Linked DNA regions of Astyanax mexicanus. The protein of the gene in region 1 purifies or fractionates together with the protein of each later gene. This does not show direct contact. Links are inferred from orthologs where the notes say so. Each region holds a gene or a part of one and is shown on either strand. Other genes may lie near its edges. The genes, in order: mtor and akt1s1.

What was found.
Region 2: the proteins of mtor (region 1) and akt1s1 purify together in Homo sapiens (affinity purification with western blotting; 8 studies listed by BioGRID and IntAct, with this or other methods). This does not show direct contact. The link is inferred for Astyanax mexicanus from reciprocal best matches to the Homo sapiens genes MTOR and AKT1S1.

The regions. Positions count from the first base shown.
Region 1 is NC_064419.1:17,747,563-17,759,735, forward strand, and holds the start of mtor (serine/threonine-protein kinase mTOR), read left to right. Parts: upstream 1-5,736; 5' UTR 5,737-5,801; intron 5,802-7,512; 5' UTR 7,513-7,544; coding exon 7,545-7,664; intron 7,665-7,858; coding exon 7,859-7,967; intron 7,968-9,363; coding exon 9,364-9,596; intron 9,597-9,851; coding exon 9,852-10,052; intron 10,053-10,499; exon of another isoform or gene 10,500-10,572; intron 10,573-11,544; coding exon 11,545-11,679; intron 11,680-11,879; coding exon 11,880-12,155; intron 12,156-12,173. UniProt on the Homo sapiens protein: Serine/threonine protein kinase which is a central regulator of cellular metabolism, growth and survival in response to hormones, growth factors, nutrients, energy and stress signals.
Region 2 is NC_064426.1:17,847,449-17,859,867, forward strand, and holds the start of akt1s1 (proline-rich AKT1 substrate 1), read left to right. Parts: upstream 1-6,927; 5' UTR 6,928-7,043; exon of another isoform or gene 7,044-7,047; intron 7,048-8,991; 5' UTR 8,992-9,254; coding exon 9,255-9,647; intron 9,648-11,161; coding exon 11,162-11,417; intron 11,418-12,419. Other genes in the region: tbc1d17 (TBC1 domain family member 17), read right to left, coding at 1,045-1,162, 1,272-1,349, 2,807-2,902, 4,657-4,677. UniProt on the Homo sapiens protein: Negative regulator of the mechanistic target of rapamycin complex 1 (mTORC1), an evolutionarily conserved central nutrient sensor that stimulates anabolic reactions and macromolecule biosynthesis to promote cellular biomass generation and growth.

The DNA.
Region 1 (12,173 bases):
ATCTTTGTGTATGCTGAATATGTCACTGTGCTAAACAAGCATAGAGGGAATGTATAAGGCTATATTTACACTGTTAAAGGATTAAAAAGTATATAGGAACTGGGTAGGTGCTGGCCAGTGTTGGTTCTTACATATGCAATGTTCTTTTTCTCGTCGGTTTGGTCGCTTTTTGTAAACTCCTTTCTTACTGCTGGGATTCAGCATCTCTGGGAAGTGACTTGCGAACATTTGAAATAAACCATATTTAATTAAAAGTGTCTTTTTGTGTGTGTAATTTAAAGAATAAGTTTTGTAGAAAAACATAATATGTGCTATTAAACACAGGTGCATTTTAGCATGGCTGAAGTTTAGAATATAAACATGGAGCAAATATTCATATTTAGGGAATTTCTGTAGTTTATTCTGTAAATTAAATGTCTGTAATTAAAACAGAGCAACTAGTCCTGCCTTATACAGTCTTGTGCAAAAAAAAAAAAAATTACACCAGTAGTTTGCCGACTCTGACCCGAATTAATTGTATTTTATTGTATAGTAATTTTAAGACCATGATATTTTAGTAGTATTTGTACCACTGACATATCGATCATCCTGAAGCACAATAATATATTTACACCTTACTCTTAAAAACAGGAAAAAAAGGTTCTTATCACTAAGATAATGCTTAGATGTTTGAGCAGGCTTCACACTGAGCACTGGAAAACTGGGCAAACAGCTTTTTAATGATTAAAATGTTTAAAACATAAAATGCTTGAAAAATCCTTAATAAATAAAACAATAAAACACTTTTTAGGTAAACACTTTTTTACATTAATGAGTAAACAGATTGGGCAATATTGAGGTTAAAAACAAAAATGGCTACATATTGTATGACAAATCTGTGATGTCATTATAACAGGCCTTGTCCAGATTAATTAATGGGTGTTTAAATCTGTAGCGTTTTCACACAGGAAAAAATCCAGGCACACCAATCACAAAAAAATATTAAAGCTATTTAACTAGAATATAAGATCAATCATTAATTAAAGAGTGTTTCCCAAACCCTTACATAACTTAAGTAGTACGTAAACTCACTCGCAAATTAATTGTTTCCATGGTATATTATAATATTACTTTATATTACATTATATTATAATGATATCACATGTCTGTAGCTTGTAGTCTAATTAGGCACTTTTGAATTAACCACTAAAACCCAAGCATAACTTATTCAAATCCAGATTGGCGATGGTAGAGCTCGACATCAATGCTGCAATAAATGCAATCAGTGAATTCCTGCAGACAACTGGTGATGGTCACAGTCTAAGCAAAGCTGCTGTCTCCAAGTCTGTGCATTCTCTAACTGGGTCATGCATGCACCATGTTAATTTCCCACTGGGCAGAGAATTACAGGACAGCAAAATACATTTCCATGACTTTGGGAACACCCCAGGTACTGTAGGTCCAAAACATGGGATGCCTATCCCTATACACACGCCCAACACAATCCCACTGATTCTGCGGTGAATGTGCAGGTAATATATAATTCACAAAGGCTTTTAATGACATTGTGACCATTTATCTGGGCAAACTCTGAGTTTTGTCAGCTTGCAACAATATATATATAGTACCAGTCAAAAGTTTAATGAACAGGTATGAAATTATGTAGTAAACAGTAAAAACTCAGGTGTTGGTTTGGTGGGCATTGAGCTAGAGCTTCACAGCAGGAAGTAAAAGCAGCAACTATAGTTCAGCACCTCCAGGAACTCCTTTAAGATGCTGAGAACTATTCCAGGTGACTCTACCTCATGAAGACACTGAGATTAAAATACCAAGATAGATAATAAAATACCAAGATAATGGAATACAAAAAGTGTGCAGATCTGTCCTTAAATAAATGTTACTGAGAAGAATCTAAAGTATAAAACATATTCTGTATTGATTAGAACTTTTTGTTCGGCATGAGCTCCTGTATAGTTTTAATGTCGATTTTAAATTTACAATGTAAAAAATCATAAAAAGAAGAAATAAACGCATTGAGTGAGAAAAGGCGTGTCCAAACTTTTGACTGGTACTGTAAATATTTGTGTTATTTATTTAGTCATTTATGTGTTTAAGAGTATTTTACAAGGCCTAAGTACGTCGGATTTTTTTTTTATTTCAGAATATGCTTAAGGATGTTGATTACAACACATTTCTATGGTTTTTGGGCGTAATAGTGAATACATGTTCTATATTTGCCAGTGCTGAATTGATGTTTGTGGGCTGTTTAGGGGGAGGAGTCAACAAAGATGTTCTTTTAACTCGTTTAATTTTCGATTTGCAAAGCTCTTTGGGAAGAAAAACTTACAGAACTGGCTCAATCTTTTCTCATATCATGCATTAGTTTGTTTGTTATTCGGTAAGTTTGATGTTTTTTGGGAAACGCACCCTATAGATGCTTGGGGCGGGAACAAGAAAAGTAAATACAGGGAGTTCACAGTAAAAACTGATTGAAAAGCACTTTGAAAGATGATTTTTATTTTTATTTGATTAGATAATTGATTGATGGGTAATGAACAAATTGGAAGATTTTGATATATTAATCATAGCCACATTTTATTATTTAACATTGAATTGTGTTAATATAAGGCATTTTTGTTACTCGTCTTTAAAGGTACAGTAAATTTTTTATACAGATAAGTTTTTTTTTATTCACTCTGTGACTGCTACAGAAGGAAAGACTTTGCCCTCACAACATTCCAATATTAAAGATTCAGACATTTATATTGTTAGGTACACTACCGTTCAAAAGTTTGGGGTCACTCAAACAATTTTGTGTTTTCCATGAAAAGTCACACTTATTCACCACCATACGTTGTGAAATGAATAGAAAATAGAGTCAAGACATTGACAAGGTTAGAAATAATGATTTGTATTTGAAATAACATTGTTTTTACATCAAACTTTGCTTTCATCAAAGAATCCTCCATTTGCAGCAATTACAGCACTGCACACCTTTGGCATTCTAGCTGTTGATTTGTTGAGGTAAGCTGGAGAAATTGCACCCCACGCTTCTAGAAGCAGCTCCCACAAGTTGGATTGGTTGGATGGGCACTTCTGGCGTACCATACGGTCAAGCTGCTCCCACAACAGCTCAATGGGGTTCAGATCTGGTGACTGCGCTGGCCACTCCATTACCAATAGAATACCAGTTGCCTGCTTCTGCTGTAAATAGTTCTTGCACAATTTGGAGGTGTGTTTAGGGTCATTGTCCTGTTGTAGGACGAAATTGGCTCCGATCAGGTGCTGTCCACTGGGTATGGCATGGCATTGCAAAATGGAGTGATAGCCTTCCTTATTCAGAATCCCTTTTACCCTGTACAAATCTCCCACCTTACCAGCACCAAAGCAACCCCAGACCATCACATTACCTCCACCATGCTTAACAGATGGCGTCAGGCATTCTTCCAGCATCTTTTCATTTGTTCTGCGTCTCACAAACGTTCTTCTTTGTGATCCAAACACCTCAAACTTGGATTCATCCTACCACAACACTTTTTTCCAGTCTTCCTCTGTCCAATGTCTGTGTTCTTTTGCCCATCTTAATCTTTTTCTTTTATTAGCCAGTCTCAGATATGGCTTTTTCTTTGCCACTCTGCCCTGAAGCCCAAAATCCTGCAGCCGCCTCTTCACTGTAGATGTTGACACTGGTGTTTTGCGGGTACTATTTAATGAAGATGCCAGTTGGGGACCTGTGAAGCGTCTGTTTCTCAAACTAGAGACTCTAATGTACTTATCTTCTTGCTTAGTTGTGCAACGCGGCCTCCCACTTCTTTTTCTACTCTGGTTAGAGCCTGTTTGTGCTGTCCTCTGAAGGGAGTAGTACACACCGTTGTAGGAAATCTTCAATTTCTTAGCAATTTCTCGCATGGAATAGCCTTCATTTCTAAGAACAAGAATAGACTGTCGAGTTTCAGATGAAAGTTCTCTTTTTCTGGCCATTTTGAGCGTTTAATTAACCCCACAAATGTGATGCTCCAGAAACTCAATCTGCTCAAAGGAAGGTCAGTTTTGTAGCTTCTGTAATGAGCTAGACTGTTTTCAGGTGTGTGAACATGATTGCACAAGGGTTTTCTAATCATCAATTAGCCTTCTGAGCCAATGAGCAAACACATTGTACCATTAGAACACTGGAGTGATAGTTGCTGGAAATGGGCCTCTATACACCTATGTAGATATTGCACCAAAACCAGACATTTGCAGCTAGAATAGTCATTTACCACATTAGCAATGTACAGAGTGTATTTGTTTAAAGTTAGGACTAGTTTAAAGTTATCTTCATTGAAAAGTACAGTGCTTTTCCTTCAAAAATAAGGACGTTTCAATGTGACCCCAAACTTTTGAACGGTAGTGTATATAATTCATTTTCTTATTACAAAAACTACTTATTGCACCTTTAAAGCTCCACTAGGTAGGATGGAGATTTTGTGCTCGTGGGCTCCCCCTACAGTTGTAGAGTGTAATAAATGTTTCAGGTGATTAGTTTCTCTTTCTTGTTTTCACAGACATATTCGGTCTCTTTCCAGCTTGTGCCAGAGTGTGTGTATGTTAGTTTGTAAAGAATTAACCACTAGTCCTTGTAGAACTGTTAGAATTAAAGTTCAGAAAGCAGGTCGCAGTTCTCGGAAAACTTACAGAGTCTGGTTTAAGCTCAGAGGATCCCGGCACAGACACGCACCTCAATGCAGCACTGCAGTGAGTTTCAAGCTGTAATTTTACTTCTTTAAAAAGATGAAAAATCAAGGAAATCCTACCTAGTGCTGCTTTAAGTCACTGTTGCAATCCATTAAAATTAGATTTTATAAAAGCTACTGTTTATGAAACAAATCAGTTCATATACAAATCTATTATTAATTCAAAAGCATTTTTATCAACCCTTTTTTTTACGCTCTGGTGCATAGCGGTCACTACAGTGGAAAGCTGTTTAAATGATATTTTCTCCTAAACGCAGTGATTTCTATGGTGGAATTGCATATCAGCCCTTAGAATGTTCTCTACTGCCCCCTTCCATTGAGGTTCATTCACTGGTTAATTGTTGTAACTACAAGTGAGCATCACTGGAATCCAAGATGGGTGGCAGACAGACATTGTTGACCATTACTGAAATATCCTGTCAATCCTTATATTATAGAAGAACCCTATTTGGTTACCATTCAATAAATTTTGGGTATATCTATAAATTATTATTATTTTTTTTTTTTGCAGATAAGTTGTACTTTGTGTTGATCTTTTTTTGAAAAATATCTTTTTGTCATTTTTGGTTGCAATTCCATTCATTTTAGGCTTGCCACCTTTTCTAGCACACAATGTAATATGTGCTCATGGATGTATAATAAAACTCAGATCGATTCATTCTTCCATTAAGTTTAAACTGTTAATGTTGGGTGCTTAATCGCATGTATTCCACTGTGGTGGTCTGTACATTCCTGAAAAAAAAAAAAAAAAAAAACATTTTTGAGGAAAAAAGACAAAAAAAGAATATTGACTCTACTGATTGACAAGAAAGGCCCTTTGGCTATCTTCATTCTGTCACTGAAAGGAGAATGCTGTGATTGGTTGAATCCATCTCTAGTCCAGCCCTATTTGTGATTAAACAACAAATCCCGAGCGGCTTCCTGTGCGCTGGTCGGTTTTACCGGCTTCTGAATGGCTGATTAATCTGTCACTCATTGCCAAGCCTCAGCCTATTGGTGGACTGGGTCCTGCTAGGTAAAAACCCCGCCCAGTATTCCTCTGCAGCCTTGCGAACAGAACATCTTCAGAGGAGAGAGAACACAGTAAAAGTAAGAGCTGTCTGTCTGTTTTAACCGGTTTAACAGCTGCGGTTTTATCGTGCTTCTGCTTCAGGTTTAATTTAACTGTTACTGAGCTTTAAATTATCTCCGTAAACGGCTTACAGCACAGCTAAGACTAAGACTAAGACTGAGACTGAGACTGACTGGGCTCCAGGCTAACTGTAGCACATTAGGCTAGTCCAGAGTTAGCAGGTTTTCCCGGCTGTGGGAGTTTAAACAGGTCAGGAAAGTGACCGGTAACCGCTTTAACCAGAGCTCAGATATACCCGCTCCCTCTCAGCCGCTGCCGCTTTACACAGTTCAGCCCTTTTTAAGGTTATCTTCAGGCCACAGCATTTAATTTTACATGGCAAGTTTGAGGCTAGCTGGCAGGCTAACTGCTATACCCATAACAATGTGTGCGTGACCCGTGTTACAGCAGAACGCTGCACTGTGTGTATGGTATGGCTATGACAACATTTCTATTTAACACACGTTTAGTTAAGCTACGTTAGCTTAACTACTTAACTCTAGCTGCATTAGTTATGGCTAAAATACGTTTGGGCAAACCACAAAGGTTACAGCATGTGAAGACTTAAAAGTGTCTATCTGTTTAATAAATCGTTCCCTCAATTTAACAGGTTCGTTTTTCTCAAGTTTTAATATTGTCCTTTTCATATACTAAACTGTTTTCTTAATTTAATAAATTGTTCTGTCAGTATAACAAATCCTTCCCTTGATTCATCAATCTGTTTCTCTCAGTTCTAATAAATTGTTTTCTCAGCTAAAATATGTTCCATTAATTCAGTAGGTTAAATAATTCCTTTGATTACAAAATCTCTTCCCTCAGCTGAACTGAAAATCCAGTTCATTCCTCATTATTTTAAAGAAAAGTGGCGGTACAGTGCTTATTTACTATTCGTTTCTATGCATTAGGTATGGCTAAAAAAGCATTATGACAAAACACATAGGTTACATTATAAAGGTACTTACAGTGCTTTCTTTGTTTAATTAATTCTTTCCTAAATTAAGCCATCTGTTTTTCTTATCAATTTAATAAACAATTCTTTCAATTTAGTAAGTTGTTCCTTTAATGTAAAGAATTTCCTAAATTTGATCATTTATTCCCTTAATGTAAAGAAAATAAGAATTCCCTCGATTTAACTATATTTTCCCTCAATTAGATAAACTATTCCCTCAATGTAATAAAGAATGACCTTGATTTAACAATCTGTTCCCTTAATTTAATAAAATGTACCCTAAGCTTAATAATTTGCTCTGTCAATTTAGTAAACGTTTACTCTATTAGCAAAACAAAATCTGCCCCCTTAATTTAATAAGTTCTTCAAGTGTCCCCTCAGAGTCACTGATTTATAAAATTACGTTATTAAATTAAATTCCAGACCAATATATTTAAAGGTATGTTGATCGTTTCATTGCTTTAAAGGTGATATGCATTGGTTTTTCTGAATATTTGAATATGTGTAACGTGTAGATTTCACTGCATTAATTCTCTACCACATACATGGGATCTTGGATCTGCAAATAAGACGAGTATCTTTGGTCAGCAATTTTTCTTTGAGATTTTCATTTAAAGTTATTATAGGCCGAACTATAATTTTGGTGAACGATAAATGGCTGATGGAAAGAACACCTAACCCAAGTTGTTCATACATGCATAACAAACAAAATGTTTCTTCTTGTCTTCCCGTTTTTGCAGAGACCGCAGGTAGCGGTACTTCTGCTGCCAGCATGTCGGGCACAGCTACAGTGCTGCAGCAGTTCGTGAGTGGCCTCAAGAGTCGGAATGAGGACACAAGGGCCAAAGCTGCTAAAGACCTCCAGCATTATGTCACTACAGAGCTGAGAGAAGTATGGAACAGTATAAATGCAACTGTTGCTTAAAAGTCTGTTGTTGCGAATAATGAAAGCAAAATGGGGGTAAAATATGAGGCGATGTGTAATGTTTTGGCTACACTAGCATATTTGTTTTGTAGAATTCTGTTGAAATTGGTCTAAGCTATCGTATACTAACCCTCGTCACCTCTGTGTTCTTTACATTAAAGTTAAGCCAAGATGAAGCCACCACTTTCTATGATGAGCTGAATCACCACATATTTGAGCTGGTCTCCAGCTCTGATGTAAATGAGAAAAAGGGCGGTATTCTTGCTATTGGTGAGTATGACTTCATTCTTTTGACAATCCATTGCACTTAGTACAGTGTTATGCACAGTTTATGGACACTCATCTCATACAGGAATATTATTGCTATGTTGGTCAGTCAGTTATTTACTTTAACTGTTATTTTCTCATGCAGATTGAGTGTACAACATATATGTATTGTACATTTCACATTTGGTGACAACAGAAGCTTTCAGAATTACAAATACAGGGTAGAGAAAGACCGATAAATCTGTTTGGGGACGATTTCATTTATCGATTGTCTTTCAGCTCAATATCAATCTTTAGCTGGGCCAAATGCCACATTAATACCGCTGAGAAGCCAGGCAAACTTGGTACAGATTCCCCTGATTATGGCCACCTCTAAGCAAACATTGGAAATACAACCTGACTGTAAATAAATGGATTTATATGTGCATAAAATAGTTTTAGTTTTATATTTGTTTTTGTTTACTTAGACACCAATTCTGCAGGAATGGGTATCCTAACATGCCTGTTTTCTGGCGTTATCTTACTTCTTAAAATAACCTACATTTACTGTAAAAAAATATAACTAAAAATCTGAATATGATTGTTTTAGCTTTTTGACTCCTGCAGCTGCTGTACTTCTGCAGCGTTTGGTGGTGTGTGTGGTTAGCTAGTTAGCTCTGCTACTCACTGATTTGGCTGTAATATTACTGTGGAGAGCGGTATTATCCGGTTAGTGGAGTTAACATCTTTATTCTGTTCCACCACGAGGCACGTTAGTCCTACACATATAAACTGTAGAAACCCACACTCGACTAAGTTGAGCTGAGTCTGTAGCTGGTCTGGCTGCTGACGAGAGTCTTGCTGCAGCCTGCTGGAATGCAGGGTTCCTTGAGGGAGTTGCACCTAGTGGCTGGACAAGGTACTGCAGCTTCCTGTGGCCAAACTGTCCCAACAGTGATCCACACAGTAGCGCTGCAGTGTTCAACTTAGCTCCCAAAACGGATCGGCTGAATCAGAGAAATATTGAACTTCCCATCTCTAATACAGGGTCAAAAATGTACACTGCCATGACAATCGTCATGGGGCTGGAACTAGTGTAATGTCCCATGAGCTAAAGAATGCTCCATTGACCTGTAGGATATGCTTTTGGGGTATCTTTCATTGAATGTGGATGTGATTTCTGCCAGTGTCACTTATTTCTAGTCAATTCTGCTGGTGGCGATTATAACCACCTGCTGCTCTGTCCACTGTAAATGATAATTCCTTCTGTAATCATTTTGGATTTTACATGTTTTGCTATATTTATCCAAACAGACCTCCTACAAAATACCTAAAACATCATTCTGATAAGGTATCAGTTGGAACAGGAATTAATTCAGGGAATCCAGTTACAGTGATTACTTTTTTTGCTCTCTTTTAGTGAGCTTGATCGGAGTTGAGGGGGGCAATGCCACCAGGATCAGCCGTTTCGCCAACTACCTGCGCAACCTGCTGCCCTCCAGTGACTCTGTGGTCATGGAAATGGCCTCTAAAGCCATGGGGCATCTGTCTATGGCGGGGGACACGTTCACTGCTGAGTATGTGGAGTTTGAAGTAAAGAGGGCTCTGGAGTGGCTGGGAGCAGACAGGAATGAGGGTCGTCGTCATGCAGCGGTAACCAATTAAATGCTTTTCTTCATATTTTGTTAGTTTACAGCACTTACTCTGTTATTATCAGATCATATTTAGCAGGAGGGCTGTTGACTCTCCTGTTTTTACATTTCAACGTGTTGAGAGGCATGTATTATGTATTATCAGGTTGGTAGAATCGACACTCTGTATGCATAAAACATTCCTTACATCAGTATTACTGCGATTGTAGACTATAATGTGTTTTGACTGGATTCTATTACAATGTCCATTGTGCAGGTGCTGGTATTGCGGGAACTGGCCGTCAGCGCACCCACCTTCTTCTTCCAGCAGGTGCAGCCATTTTTCGACAACATCTTCTATGCAGTGTGGGACTCTAAGCAGGCCATTCGCGAGGGGGCAGTTTCTGCCCTCCGGGCCTGCCTGATCCTCACGACTCAGAGAGAGACCAAGGAGATGCAGAAGCCTCAGTGGTACAAGGTAAGCTCTATAGGTCACCTGAGACTGTATTTATACTAATGAAATTGCCATGAACATAACAACCCAGCATTTTTAGAACTATTGTCTATCTGTTTTGCTTGTGCCATACTGTTGGTTGCCATGCCATGGACAAAGCTGGATATTAAAGAATGTCTTGCCAAATACAGTACCAAACAAAAGTTTGGACATGTCTCAAAGTTTTCTCAAGTTTTTTCATTATTTAAAAAGACTATTGTCATCCATTCTATGACGATAAACATGGCATTTTTAGTAAACAAAAAGGGTTAAACAAGCCAGAATATATTTTATAATTTAGATTCTTCAAAGTAGCACCTCTTAAGGGGTGCCTTGTGCTCCAGTGGTCTAAACAGCTGCCACTATGAGCTGGTTTGAATCCTGGTCATGCAGCTTGGCCCTGCACAATTGGCCTTGCCTGCATGCATATCATGACCCAGATGGGGCTCGAACCCACAATCCTCAGCTCCGAAGGCTGATGCCTTATCCATTAGGCCACTGGGCCTTGCCCTGTCTGGGTGGGTAGATGGCGCTCTTTCCCCTCAACACCCGTAGGGTGATGTCGGGGTGTCTGTAAGCTGATGTATCAGCACCGAGTCGCTGCACTTTCCTCCGAGTGCACTGTGATACTACTCAGCAATGCTGCATCAGCAGCAGTTCAAAAAGAGGCGGTGGCTGACTTCACATGTGTCGGAGGAGGCATGTGCTAGTCTTCACCTTCCTTGTGTTGTGGCATCACTAGTGATGAGGACAGCTGTGTAGCAGCTGAATGGGTGCGGTAATTGGGAGAAAAAAGAAAAAAAAAAAAGAAAAAAAAAGAAGCACCTCAGATGACAGCTTAGATGACAGATTTGCACATTGCGAAGACCATCAAAAGTTAAGATGAAACTGGCTCCCATCAGGACCGCACCAGAAAAGGAAGACCAAGAGTTACATCTGTTGCACAGAATAAGTTCATCAGAGTAACCAGCCTTAAAAACTGCGAGTTAACAGAACCTCAGATTAGAGCACTTAAATGCTTCACAGGGTATTCTTAGGTGGTTTGTTTAACACTTTTAAATTACTACATGATTCCTTTGTTCATGGATAGTCTGGGTGACTTTAGTATTAATTTACAATGTACAGAACAAAAAAAATAAAACATTGAATGACAAAGTGTTCAAACTTTTGTCTGGTACTGTATATTTGCAAGGTTCAGACTAAAGGGTTATCTGAACACGTCACTTCTTCCTCTGAAAGTGTGGCACATTTGGTGGTGTCAAATCTGTTTAGAAGGTTGGAAACTTTAAAAATTGTTTGTGCTGCTTAAAATATATAACCAAGGAGGATAATTGCAAAGCACAAAGTGGGTAAGGCTAGTGCGTATCCTTTTGCAAAGTTTGTGAGAAATGTGACATTTTGTAGCTGAGCTTTGTGTGTGGATTAAATGTGTGAAATTGATTAGTTGCTTCAACTCAATTTGAAATTATTTTCACAGCAAACCTTTGAAGAGGCAGAGAAAGGTTTTGACGAGTCCCTGGCCAAAGAGAAAGGTATGAACAAGGACGACAGGGTCCACGGAGCCTTGCTGATTCTGAATGAGCTGGTCCGCATCAGCAGCATGGAGGGGGAGGTAAGCAGATTCTTAATCTGAACGACAAGTACAAGTACATAACAAACTTTTTCATTTAATCACAATAAAAGTCATAGTCACTTTAGATTCACAGTAGGTTTGACAATATAAAATTGCCACTTAGTTGAGTGGGAGGGGGTCTTGTCCTCCTGTGTCTCATGTACTCTCCTGTCTTGCCTCACACTCTCTCTCCTTTTCAGCGGATGCGAGAAGAAATGGACGAGATTACTCAGCAACAGCTGGTTCATGACAAGTACTGTAAGGAGCTGATGGGCTTCGGCACAAAACCACGGCACATCACTCCTTTCACCAGCTTCCAGTCAGTGCAGCCGCCCCAATCCAACGCTCTACTGGGACTTCTGGGCTACAGCAGCCCGCAGGGGTTCCTCAGCTTCGGCGCTGTGCCAGCACCATCCAAAAGCACACTGGTAGAAAGCCGCTACTGTCGAGAACTGATGGAGGAACGATTTGATCAGGTAAGTATACAGCTGTCT
Region 2 (12,419 bases), on another chromosome or scaffold:
ACAGGGTACAACCATGTCTGCCAGCCTCTGTCTGCCTCTTCAGTCACACATTATAGGTCTCTATAGCATTTTGATCTTCTCTCAAATGCTTCTTAACCCTAAGCTACCAAGCCTGGGCTGAATGCAAGAGGCTCGGCCTGATCTTAATGGGGCCTGGTCAAATAATTCTTTACTCATTTGTAGGGCTGGGTATCGAAATTCGCAGGCACCGACCAAAATGTAGTACCGAAAGGTTAAAAAACAAAAAAAACAAAAAAAAAAACACGACAAACGCGGAGAGTGTACACAACGATGTAAAAACAACCACGATGGCGCCCTGACACACACAATTGGAGAGCGCACGCAGAAATGTGGTGAGCCTGTTAGCGGTGATCATTCAAACTGTTGACACACTGCCGCTGTGCTAAAATCTCAGGTGCTTGCTCTGGCTAACTCGACTCTCTCTCTCTCTCTCTCTCTCTCTCCTGAAATATTAATATACAAAGATACTAATATACAGTGGGTATCGTTTTGAAATTGTCAATATCTGTATCGGTATTGAAAATTTAAGAACGATACCCAGCCCTACTCTTTTGTAGTTTCTCCATGCGTAGTGTGGTACACAGACACTATGACTGAGTCAACTTTTCTTCATTTAAACTCGCTAAACATGTGATCTCAATATTACCACCTCCTAAAACTTATTATAATCACTAATTAAAGAAAAATTACATGATTGAAATTCAAATATTCAAATATTTCTCATAATTCTCACAAAAAGGTGCCAATATTTTTTCAAGTCCACTTCTGGGGTTTTCTGTGGAATGTAATCCCATTTAACTTTTTTTTTGTTTTGTTTTTTTTGCTTTGTCCTGATGCAAAATATAGAAACAAACGAGAACCAAACGCCAAGTTTGTTTAACTGTAAAGAAATATACTGGGAGAAGTGGTGCATCTTTTGAAAGAAGTGCAGAGATGCTGGTATTTTTGGCCATTAGCGTAACTAATAACACTTTTCTGTTTCCTGGTGAGTGTGAAACTCTATAAACCGCAGATGAACAGTACCTGTGTCTCTGACGGGTGTTTTCTCTTTTTCTCGGTTCTGCTTCACTGTGCCGATAACGGCCCAGTCTGGCTCATACCCCGGGTCAAAGTTGGTTTCCTCCTCTCCTCCTTCCCCATCCTTTTATAACAACACAAAAAAGCAAAGAGAGGGATGAGGGAAAATTAAGTTATTAGGTTTAATAGAGTAAACTTCCATTCATAACGTAATGACGTAATAACGTAATAACCTTTTTGGCATAAAAGACAGCAGGTGCGTTTTTCCCATCATCCTGAACAGGGCTCCACTCCAATACTGACTCTCCATCCTGTTCGAATTTAAACATAATAGAAACACATGTAATTCTAAAACACATTTTTCCCTCTGGATTATCAATTATTTATTCAACTTTTGATGAATGGAGCAATAGAATTGCACCAAAATGACCTGAAATAAAGTCTTTATCATTGATGTCCACTGAAAGTTAAGGTATTTTCCTTCTTCTGTAAAGTTGACATTTTGGAGACTCAAGGATTTTAAATAGGACATTATTTGGCCAGCTTGATATTTGGAATTAAGAAAACTTGAAAATTTAGTTCACTGATTTTTGAGAATTTGGATTTAAAAAAATGTACCAATAAGAAAACTGTAATAAACAACAACAATTGCTTTTCATTTTTTCATTTTCATTGTGTTTCAATACAAAATCAAGAGGTTGGACTGGTACATTGAAAAACCTAGGTCTATTATGATATACCTTTAGATTTTAACTTCAAAAAGAAAACCTGTTTTATCTAAATTCTCAAGATTTATATTCCAAGAGCATCTGAGCATCATAATGCCAGAATATATCATCATATTCTCACAAAGCAGTTATTTTCTAAACATTTTTTTTATTTAAAGCAATTTTTTTAAATAATATAAACAAGCAGGATTATTTTTTAAAATATAAAACAGACTTTTATTACTCGGTTAAAAATGTAAAAAATAATCTTTTAAAGCAGCACCATGCAGGGATTTTGTAAATCTTAATTTTAAGGTATTTGGGAACATGTTAAATGCAGTAAACAAACAGTAATCATACTGTCATAGTGTGAAGAATTGTGTCTCTTAACATTTACACATATTTCTAATTATAGCATCTGTACAGGATCTAGAGTAAGTGCAACTCCCATTATTAAACTATTTTGAATTCTGTATTGTACAGCACATTATATAACGTTTATGGTATATATTTCTATCACTGTCATTTTTTGGAATATAATGGTTGTAACTGTGTAACTGCTATTGAGTTCAGGACCAATACAATACAAATACAGCTCTGGAAATAAATAAGAGACCACTTAAAAATGGGTTTTTTGAGAACTGAAAACCTCTGGAATATAATCAAGAGGAGGATGCATGATCACAAACCACTTAAACTGCTTAAATATTTCCATCAGGAGTGGCATAAGTGGACTGGTGGAGGAAAACATGCCAAAATGCGTGAAAACTGTAATAAAAACCAGGGTTATTCCACCAAATATTGATTTCTGAACTATTTAAACTTTATGAATATGAACTTGTTTTCTCTACATTATTTGAGGTCTGAAAGCTCTGCATCTTTTGTTATTTCAGCCATTTCTCATTTTCTGCAAATAAATGCTTTAAATGACTATTTTTATTTGGAATTTTTTGTATTTTTTAGAATAAAACAACAGTGTTCATTTTACTCAATTTTTTTTTTTTTTTCAGAGCTGTATTTAGATATCATTAATGTACAACTACTACCTATCAGCCCCTTACCTTCTCTACAATACGGATGAATCCAGGAATAGTTGTGTCTTGGTTACTCCTCTTGGCATTTGTGTGAAGGTAAACCCCCTCCTTCTCAAAGATCAGCTGTGATTAAACAACACACACACACATCACCTTTAAACTTCAAATGAGATTTCAGTTCAGGACAACTTAGCTCATGACTCACACTCACATGTGTGTTGGGTGAGTGGCAACACTAAGGGAAAGTACTGTTACTGAGGGTCAGCATGGCAGCTCAGTGGTGGACCTCAGTATCCACCAGGTACTGTGCCATTTCTAATGAACAAAAATATACACTGAACTGATCCAAGTTTTGACTTGAACACTTTCTTTCAATGGGCCATTCCTTGATGCAGGGCCCATATCTGCTTCAACTTTAGTTTATTTATTTATTTTTTTACACATGCAGTCTCATGTTTTCCTAAAGCATGCTCTGATACAATAAGGAAGCCATAGTAGAATCTGTCCTGGAGAGATTGCCTGGACTTCCTGCAACATAGCAGCCGCTAAACATGACATGTTAACCTTAACACTTCCATGCTTTAAAGTAGGTATGGATCATTGTGCGCAAAACCTTTGTTTGGTTTACATTAAACATACAGTTCTAGTCCAAGCTTAGACACACCTTCTCTTTTCAATGTTTTTATTTTCTACATTGTTAATGAATACACAAGTCATCCAGATTATGAAGGATCACATAAGGAATCATCTAGTAACTTAAAAGTGTTTAACAAACCAAAATACGCTGTGAAGCATTAGATGGCTCCTATCTGGGGAGCTGTTAATTTGTGATCTGATGACCCTGACCTTATCCTTATCCTTGGTCTTCCTTTCCTGGGGCAGTCCTGATGAGAGCCAGTGATTTTGATGATCTTTGCAACTGCACTTGGGGAAAAGTTCTTCAAATATTTAGGATTGACTGAGCTTCATTTCCTAAATTATTTTTTTCTTTATTTAGATCAGTAGTTCGTGCCATAATATGAATTAGAACATTACTCAAATAGAGCTATTTACTTTATACCAACTCTACCTCTTCACAACACAACTGATGCTCTCAAACACATTAAGAGGCAAGAAATTTAGTTCAGCACAGCTGTTAACTGAAAACCATTCCAGGTGACTCTACCTCATCAAGCTGATTTAGAAATTCCAGCCAAGATGTGCAAAACTAGCTCTATCTAAGCAATAGATGCTACTTTGAAAATTTTATAATATGTTTTTCTTCATAGTTTGGATGACTGTAGTATTAATTTACAATGTGTTTAATGACATTTTGTAAATAATGCTTAAACAGTTCTTTAGTTTTTTGTCTTTAGCTATATTACCTCCACATCTAAGTATTGTTTAAATGTTAAATATGATTTTATTTATGGGTGTATTAACTGGGGGTTTTAAGTGGGGGCGTTGGCACTGGAATGTCATACTTGATTCACTGATCAGACTCAATTACTCAGTGGTTTAGCTACCAGCTGCATTTAATGTACAAACTGGTCTTAACAGAGCTGACAATCAGGTTCATTTCCCTAAAACACAACGGCTCACAGGCCTGCCAACAACACCGCACTGTGACAGAGTGTTATCAGCCGTGTAAACAACCCGTTTATCTCTTTTAAACTGACCTGCCTCTCTGAAACTGAGCTAATTCTGACTTTTACTAAACTGAAACTCTTGTTTCTCAGTCTGTCTTCTCCAGCTTTCACCGTCAGACGCCACATTTTGACTCTGACACAGAAAGCAACCGATATAACAGGCACAAAGAAACCAATAACTGCTGCTATATGTCTTACCATATTTTTCAGTGTGCTAAATACTCAGTGTGTGCTGTCATTTTCACTCACCTTGCGATTTTCTGTCTCCATTCCTCGATTTTCTGCCTATCGACAGAATGTGACCAAAACAGCAGGGCTTCTTCCGCCTGCCTAGCCAAGCCTCGCCCACCAATCACATGCTCTGTCACGTGCTTTCAGTGACGTTTTGTTTACTTTGGAAAAATAAGCACATTATATTAAAATAACGTCATATTTATTTAGTTTTTTCTCACTTATATTTCATTATTTTATATTATTGTTTGGTTCTAGTGACTGAAACATAAAACAATAAAGATACTAAAAAAATATAAACAGCATAAAGACTGCGACACTGAACTGGATTAATCAGATAAGAAGATCATAATGAAGACGGCGAGGAGAGAAAGTATTACGTGTTTAGACGTCAAAATAGTTTTACATATTAAATGTATGCGAATAAATATGAATTCTATGCATCTACAACACCATAGTCCAAAAATGTATATATATATATATATATATATATATATATATATATATATATATATATATATATATATATATATATATATATTAGGAATATAACTAACTAAAAAAACTGGCCATTCACTTGCAAAAAACATCATGGACGTAGTCAATAAACAATAAAATAAATAATAAGAAAGTTTTTTATTAAAGAAAAAAAAATTATGTGGTAGTAATCATCTTAAATGGATATCATTATAACAATGCTCTTTTTGTTTAATATTTTAAAAAGTGTGCCTCCTAGCCACAACTGGAATTATTATTATTAAAATGTGTATAATATTTGCACATTAACAGCATCAAACATTAAAAAAATAAAATAACTTAAGAATAAAAGGAGCAAATGATACAAATGATATAGAAATGTAAAGCCACTGATTAACTAATGTCAGGTTTAAAACTAAATAAAAGGTAAAAGAACCCACATGTGAGTTTCCTGTATAACTGATCTGAGGTATGGAATCTGGATCTGCTGGAATTCCTGGAATTTTGTGCGAATATTCAATCACATATTGAATCACACACACTAGGGGTGGGCGATATGGCTCTAAAATAATATCACGATATTTCAGGGAATTTTTGCGATAGCGATATACTTGGCGATATAGGAAACCAGAAATAATTTGTTAATTTCAGGAATATAGTATAAAAGTTTAACAGTATAATCATAATGTGGAAAAATAAATAATATAGCATAAAATAATATAATGCAGCAAAAAATATTGCAGAACATTTAGTGCATGCATATAAACTGCAAAATTAAACAATTATACAATACATTCACTTAAGGCTTCACAGTAAATAATAGACTACTTTTAAGACAGAACATCCCTATTATCACGATATGGATTTTTAATAGCATGATATTTCTGTGTCACGATATATTGTTGTATGATATAATACTGCCCACCCCTAACACACACACACACACACACACACATATATACTATGTCATATACTATGACTGGCTTATTTACTTGCCAATTTATAAAAGATGTGGTGTACAGCATAAAAAAACATGTTACGGACATAATCTATAGTCTATTATATATTGTATTTAGTGGACTTAGCGACTTGCAAATAATGATGATGACTGCGGTTTAAAAACTAACTTTACCACAGTTGATGTACATTAGCAGTAGAAGTCGAAGGCAGAAACGTTTTAGGAGGCCAAAAGGTAATAGTCGGATAGAAAAGGAAAAGATAGGGAGCTGGGAATAAGGTTAGAAGTAGTTTATTAATTAGTATGTCATTTTTATTCAAAAATGTAAAAAATATTTAGAAATTAGTTCAGTTGTTAAACTAAATAAAAGGTAGAAGAAGAACAAAAAGTGTGTACATATATATGTTTAAAAATACGAATAACTATAAATCAAATTTATTCAGAAATCAAGCTTCCATGATACGATTCCATGATTTTATTTTTGTTTTTTATTTATAAATAATAAAGTGATAATTAGCTTATTAGTTTATTAAGAAAACACACTGAAGTGGGTCTAATCAGCATAAATTCATTGAATCTTTTTCATTTTTTAATAAATTCCTTAGCGATTCTAAATTGGGCATTTATTATCATATTCACTTTGAAATGAACCCTTTATATGAGCAGTATAAAAGCTCTGTTAATTATAAACGTCTGTGTAAATTATTAATTATAAAATTATGTTATGATAATTTTTTTTTGTGGTATATTGCGTTATCTTTATGTTAGCAGTATCCAAAATTATAAAATATAAAATAAATTCTGTACTAATATAAATTGATATGTTGCATTACGTGATGACGTGATGTGTGCGTCACCCCGCTGGAGTCTAGGGGAGAGCGAGAGAAAGAAAGGCGAACGGCATAAACAGCGCAAAAACAGCAGGTTTTACACCGTAAAGACGCTTGTGACAGAAGCGGGAGGATACTGAGTGTGTGAGTAAATTACTGGCTGTGTTTAAATGTGGGGAATTTTGTGCGTGTGTGAGAAAAGCTGCATGTTTTACCGAGAGTGAAGTTGTGAGGAGCTCAGGCTAGCTCGGTTAGCTTAGCTTAGCCTAGCGCAGCTCAAGTTGTGTGTGTGTGGCTGGTTGAGCGGAGCTGCGGGTCGGTGTAAGCTGTGAGGGTCACTGCGCTGCTGCTGGAGCTGCTGGAGGGTGAAAGGGCAGTAAGGGGGGTGTGGGAGTTTAGCAGAACCATTTCCCAGAGGATTAACACGAGGAGCACGAGGGCTGCACCAGCAAAACAGCTTAACTTACCAAACAGAGCTGTTTTCACCAACAACACTGCATTGTTCAGTTCAGCTCCTGCTCACACTACTGCTAGCTAACACTACTGCTCCTCAAAATATTCACCAGGCTTCACCCCTGTCCACAATATAAGTGATTTAACCCATTTACAGGGTTTGGAACGCATACAGGCGTAGATAATGTGTAGTGTAGATCATGCAAAACTGTCTTTCTCTGCAGTAAAATATGATATTTATATTCTGAAAACTTTGAGGGTTTTGAAGAGTCCTACAGGTTACATGGAAAAGCTTCCTTTTCACCATCTACTCCAATTTCAGATCAGTAACAGGAATCAAACCCAGATTCTAAATATTTGAAAATAGTAGGGCTGCAATGATTAGTCGATATAATCGAGAGTATCAATTATTTAAATTTGTCGAAAACAAATTTCATTGTCACTTATCTTAATTTGTAACAGTAACGCATTACACAAAGTGCTGGGGACAGAAGTGCAATGGGAGATGGGTAAACGGTTCACTCACACAGTTTACATTCAGCTTTAGTCTGTCTCTCCAAAAGTGCTCAACAGACAAACTCAACAGATTTAATCAGCAAATATTACTACTTTCCATGTTTGAACATCATCTAGACATTAATATGCCTTTTAAATCTCATGTTCGGCTGTTTTTATCATTTTTATAAGTAGGGGACATGGCAGAAATAATTGTTGACTAATTGACTAATGGAAAAAATAATCATCAGATTAGTTGACTACCAGAATAATCATTGATTGCAGCCCTAGAAAATAGACATAAAAACTAGACAACCTTTACAAAACGAAAGGTTTGGAGGACATTAAATGTTTGATTTGTATTCAGGAAAACACTCATTTTGTTCCAATTTTATGATTATTTATTACATTTTTAAAGTTGCTGTTTTACTTACCTTTTTGAAAAACAATTTCGAATACAATTACAATTAGACTTTGCTGTAACGTTTATTATCAAACAGCTGGTCTGAAGTACATGCTCAGGTTGAGGAGGTGAAAAAAGGTGAGGCGGTTTGCTTTTGCTGTTTTTGCAGCTATAGCTGCACAGCTTCACCAAGAGATGTGTGGGTACGAGAGAGAAGCACTTATATAGCTAATAAGCTAATATGCATAAAAGCAAAAAAGATGCATGAATTCAGATTTGACCGTTCACATTCATGTCACATGTCCATGGATTGGATACATGTCCGATCTGATTTGGCATGTTCACACAGCCATGAAAAAAAAAAAACAGATCTCAGCTACATTGAGGGAAAAAAAATCTGATTTGAGTCACTTCACGCTGGTAATGTAAATGTAGCCTAAGGGCCAGCTTGGTGCTAAGAACCTTTTGGGAAACTCAGCCCTGGATATCTGGGCTTTTGGGCTACAAAGGTGCTACAAAGGGTTCTTTAAGTGATACAACAGATACAGTAACAATTTTTGCAAAAGACCAATCTTTGTCTTTGTTGGTAAAGAACTTTTACATTGACTTCTTAAAGCCTTTTTAAATGGTCCCTTACACATACGTTTTTTTTTTTTATTACAAAATCTACATTTTAGTGCAAGAACAGACAAGAACAACCAGATCTTTCAATATAACATGTGCTTTTTTGTTTCTAGGCAACATCAGCGAGTGCCATCCTCCCGTCTCTCCCCTAGTTCTCTCCTGCATGCAGACACGGCCGTCCACTTGTGCCTCATCCAAAGTCTCATCAGCATTTACACCGAAGTAAGCTGCATTCATTTACCAAAGAAAAAGAGTAAGTAACTGCAAAGATAACCTACATAGTGCCACCTCTTGAGCATAAGAAGCATCTTGTTTGATGTGATACCAGCATCTCCACATTTCAGAAGAAAAAAAAAAATAAGATCCATATTTCACCATGGCCTCCATCACCAAATCATCTGACCTCGAGATTCCAGACAACCACAAAGAAAGTTGGCTGGCGCTCCTTGCCGCGGCCGAAGCCTACTGCCAGAAATCCGGCTGTGACCTGGCCATACTGACCGCCTGTAAAAAGTTCCTTCCCTCGGGTGTGGAGGGGGACGGAGTGAAGAAGCATGAAGGGGGTGGAGTCGTGCCCCATGGAGGCCGTAAGTGGGATTACTCATATCATGTGTGGGGTCAGGGTGCACTGGCTGAATCCTCACGGCGGTACATGGACGACATCGCTGTCCTTCACTCCACCACGGTGCTCACGGCCCACAGACACACCCGCCTCAGCTCTGGAGATGGAGGATCCAAGCTAGGTGTGGACATGCCCTCTGATAGGCCGGTGAGTGATGCATGAACTCCTCAGTCACAGTAGAGGTGGGCGATACTGCAGGAACAATTACTTTAATTTGAAGTCTGCTACACTACATTCAGTTTAACAGCACTAATAAACCTGTTTGTAATAAAACATGCGGTGCTGATGCATATAATGCACTTGCTACAGTCACTAAAAACATGAGGACACAATGAGCAGAATGGTAAAATCATTACATCACGATACACAATGTTTTGACACATAGAAAAATTATATCAGTACTAAAAAGTGAAATTTTAATTAATGTCCCTTAATTAATACATTGATTTTTACTTTAAATGTTGCAGAACTAACTACATGATTTGTAAGAAAATATGCAGTTGCTAGTGTTATACATTTTGTACATAAGCCACACTTCTAGAGTCGCTGCGGAGTGGCGTGTAGAACAGCACCAAAGAAGCAAAAACAGCTCGCAAGCTAATGGTAGAATAACGAGCTAATATACTGGAGAAATGGTAGCTCAGAGCTGAGAAAAATTGAAACAGCTGTTTATCTGAGGAGCTCCTGCTGTTGTTTCTTACTATATGACTTCGGATATGACTCGGATAGGTTTTTTCCCAAGTAAAATACAAAAACAACAGCAAGCAGCAATTATTCACTCAGAAAAGAGAAATTGTCACCCGGACCAGCACAGAATCGGTCCTGGGTAAAGAATTATTTATTCAGCAAAAGTGCTAAAATAAACTTAATACTGTAGCTTGAAGAACATTAATAATATTTATAGTCTGATTTCTTCATATACTGTGTAATTTTGTGTTACAAAGTAAACCCAATAGTAATCAAAGCCTTAATTTAAAGCCTTGGTGTTATATATTATATGTACTCCTAACAGTAGAGTAAGTCACAAATCTAAATAAAAGCCCAGTGACAACATTACACTCAATTAAAATATTAAAATAAACTAAATAAAAATATATGTCCCCATTTGAGGACATACTAAGGATGTTTTTTGCAGAAACAACCTCCTGTAAATAGACAAAGTTCAATGTTTATGAATAAATGAATGAATGAAATGATGCTGTACTCAGAACTTTTCTCTGTTGATCGATTGAGCAATTCTATTTGTCTGTTTTTTCTTCTCTGAGCGAATAATTGCCGTTTGCTGTTGTTGTTTTTCTGTAATCAAGAATTTATTGAAAGTTTTATAGATAAGTATCAGATCAGTAACAATATAGTGCATTACAAAAACGGACAATGTTTTCCTATCTTTTTTTTTAAATCCCCTCCACCTTACCCACAACCATCCATCCCCACCTGTTTGCTGTTGTTTTTATATTTTACTCGAATAAATACGCTCATACAGTGAGAAACAGCAGCAGGAGCTCCTCAGATAAAGTGCTGTTCCCGTACCCTTCATTTCTCATAACTAATCGCAAGCTAAAACTGGGTCTTATGAGGAGATATATATATATAATTATTATTCTTTTTTTTTTTCCTTTTTTTTTAATTTTATTAAATTGAGAAACTTTTTTCTTTTGCAGACCATGATTGGGGACTCAGGTTCCGTAAGCCCCAGTGCAAGGCTTTATTCTCAGAATTACCCATCGATCTACAGCCAAGCCTCAGGGATCGGCCAGCCTGTGGTTCAGCTTGGCAACGGAGAGGGAGAACGAGTGGCTCTGGAGGAGGCGGAGAGAGCAAGGGAGAGGGCAGGCATCGTGGATCTGGAGGAAGATGAGGAGGAAGGGGAGGAAGATGAAATGGACGGACGGAGACATAATCTGAATGAATCGACAGGTGAGGATGTTCGATATCAGTCGAATATTAACCAAAACCAATCCGATCCAATGTTTGGGTTTGCATAAATAATCCAGCCACACAGTTTAGGTGAGATACACTAGCCTGTAGGGGTGGAAATGTCTAAACCCTATGATTCAATCTGATTATGATTCGGAGATCTGTGAAATGATTATAAACCTATAATTGATGCGTCTTTTTCTTTTATACAGCTCTTAATTTACCTCATTGCATAACAATTTGGTACTTTTAAAGAAAAGTATCTGTAATGATCCAAAACAAGCATAGTTATTTCAATTAATAAAATGATTTCTTTACAAATATCTAGGTTTAATATTATTAGGGTAATGATTAGGCAAGCTTCTGCCACAATATTAAAACCAGCTACAAGGAAAGCAGAAACAACAGGGGCATTACACATTACATTGGCCAGCCATACATTTATATTCAGTGCTGTATTTAATGGTGTGGCTGATCTGTATTTGATCAGTGTAAGAATAAAATATAATGTAAAAAGTTATCTATTTTAATTGGCTTATTAATGCTTTATATTGTTACACACTGGAATGGGTACCCAGTGGCTTATTCAAGTAAATTTGAATAACTTTCTTTTAAATAGTATTATTAATAATTATTATTATTATAATAATAATGCCACACTGACAACAATAATAAGCATTGTTTGTTTGACATTTGTTAAAACAATGTTTAGAAAATTATAATGTAGAAAACGCAGTTAATATAGTGTTATTAAGAAATATATAATATATAAAAAAAATAAAGTGCTTTAGCAGCTATATGAGTAAAATGAAAAGAAAGAAAGAGACCATAGAGCAGAGATTTAAATGTTTAAGTGCAAGTAAACACTGTGGTATTTGTCGGCAGAGCTGCTTTGGCTCGAGGGAGGATAAAATGGTGTATCTGACAGGGACTGACATAGCACCACACCTACACCGAATAACACTAACAGATGTGCTCTGGGCTGAACCAGGCAGAGCTTAG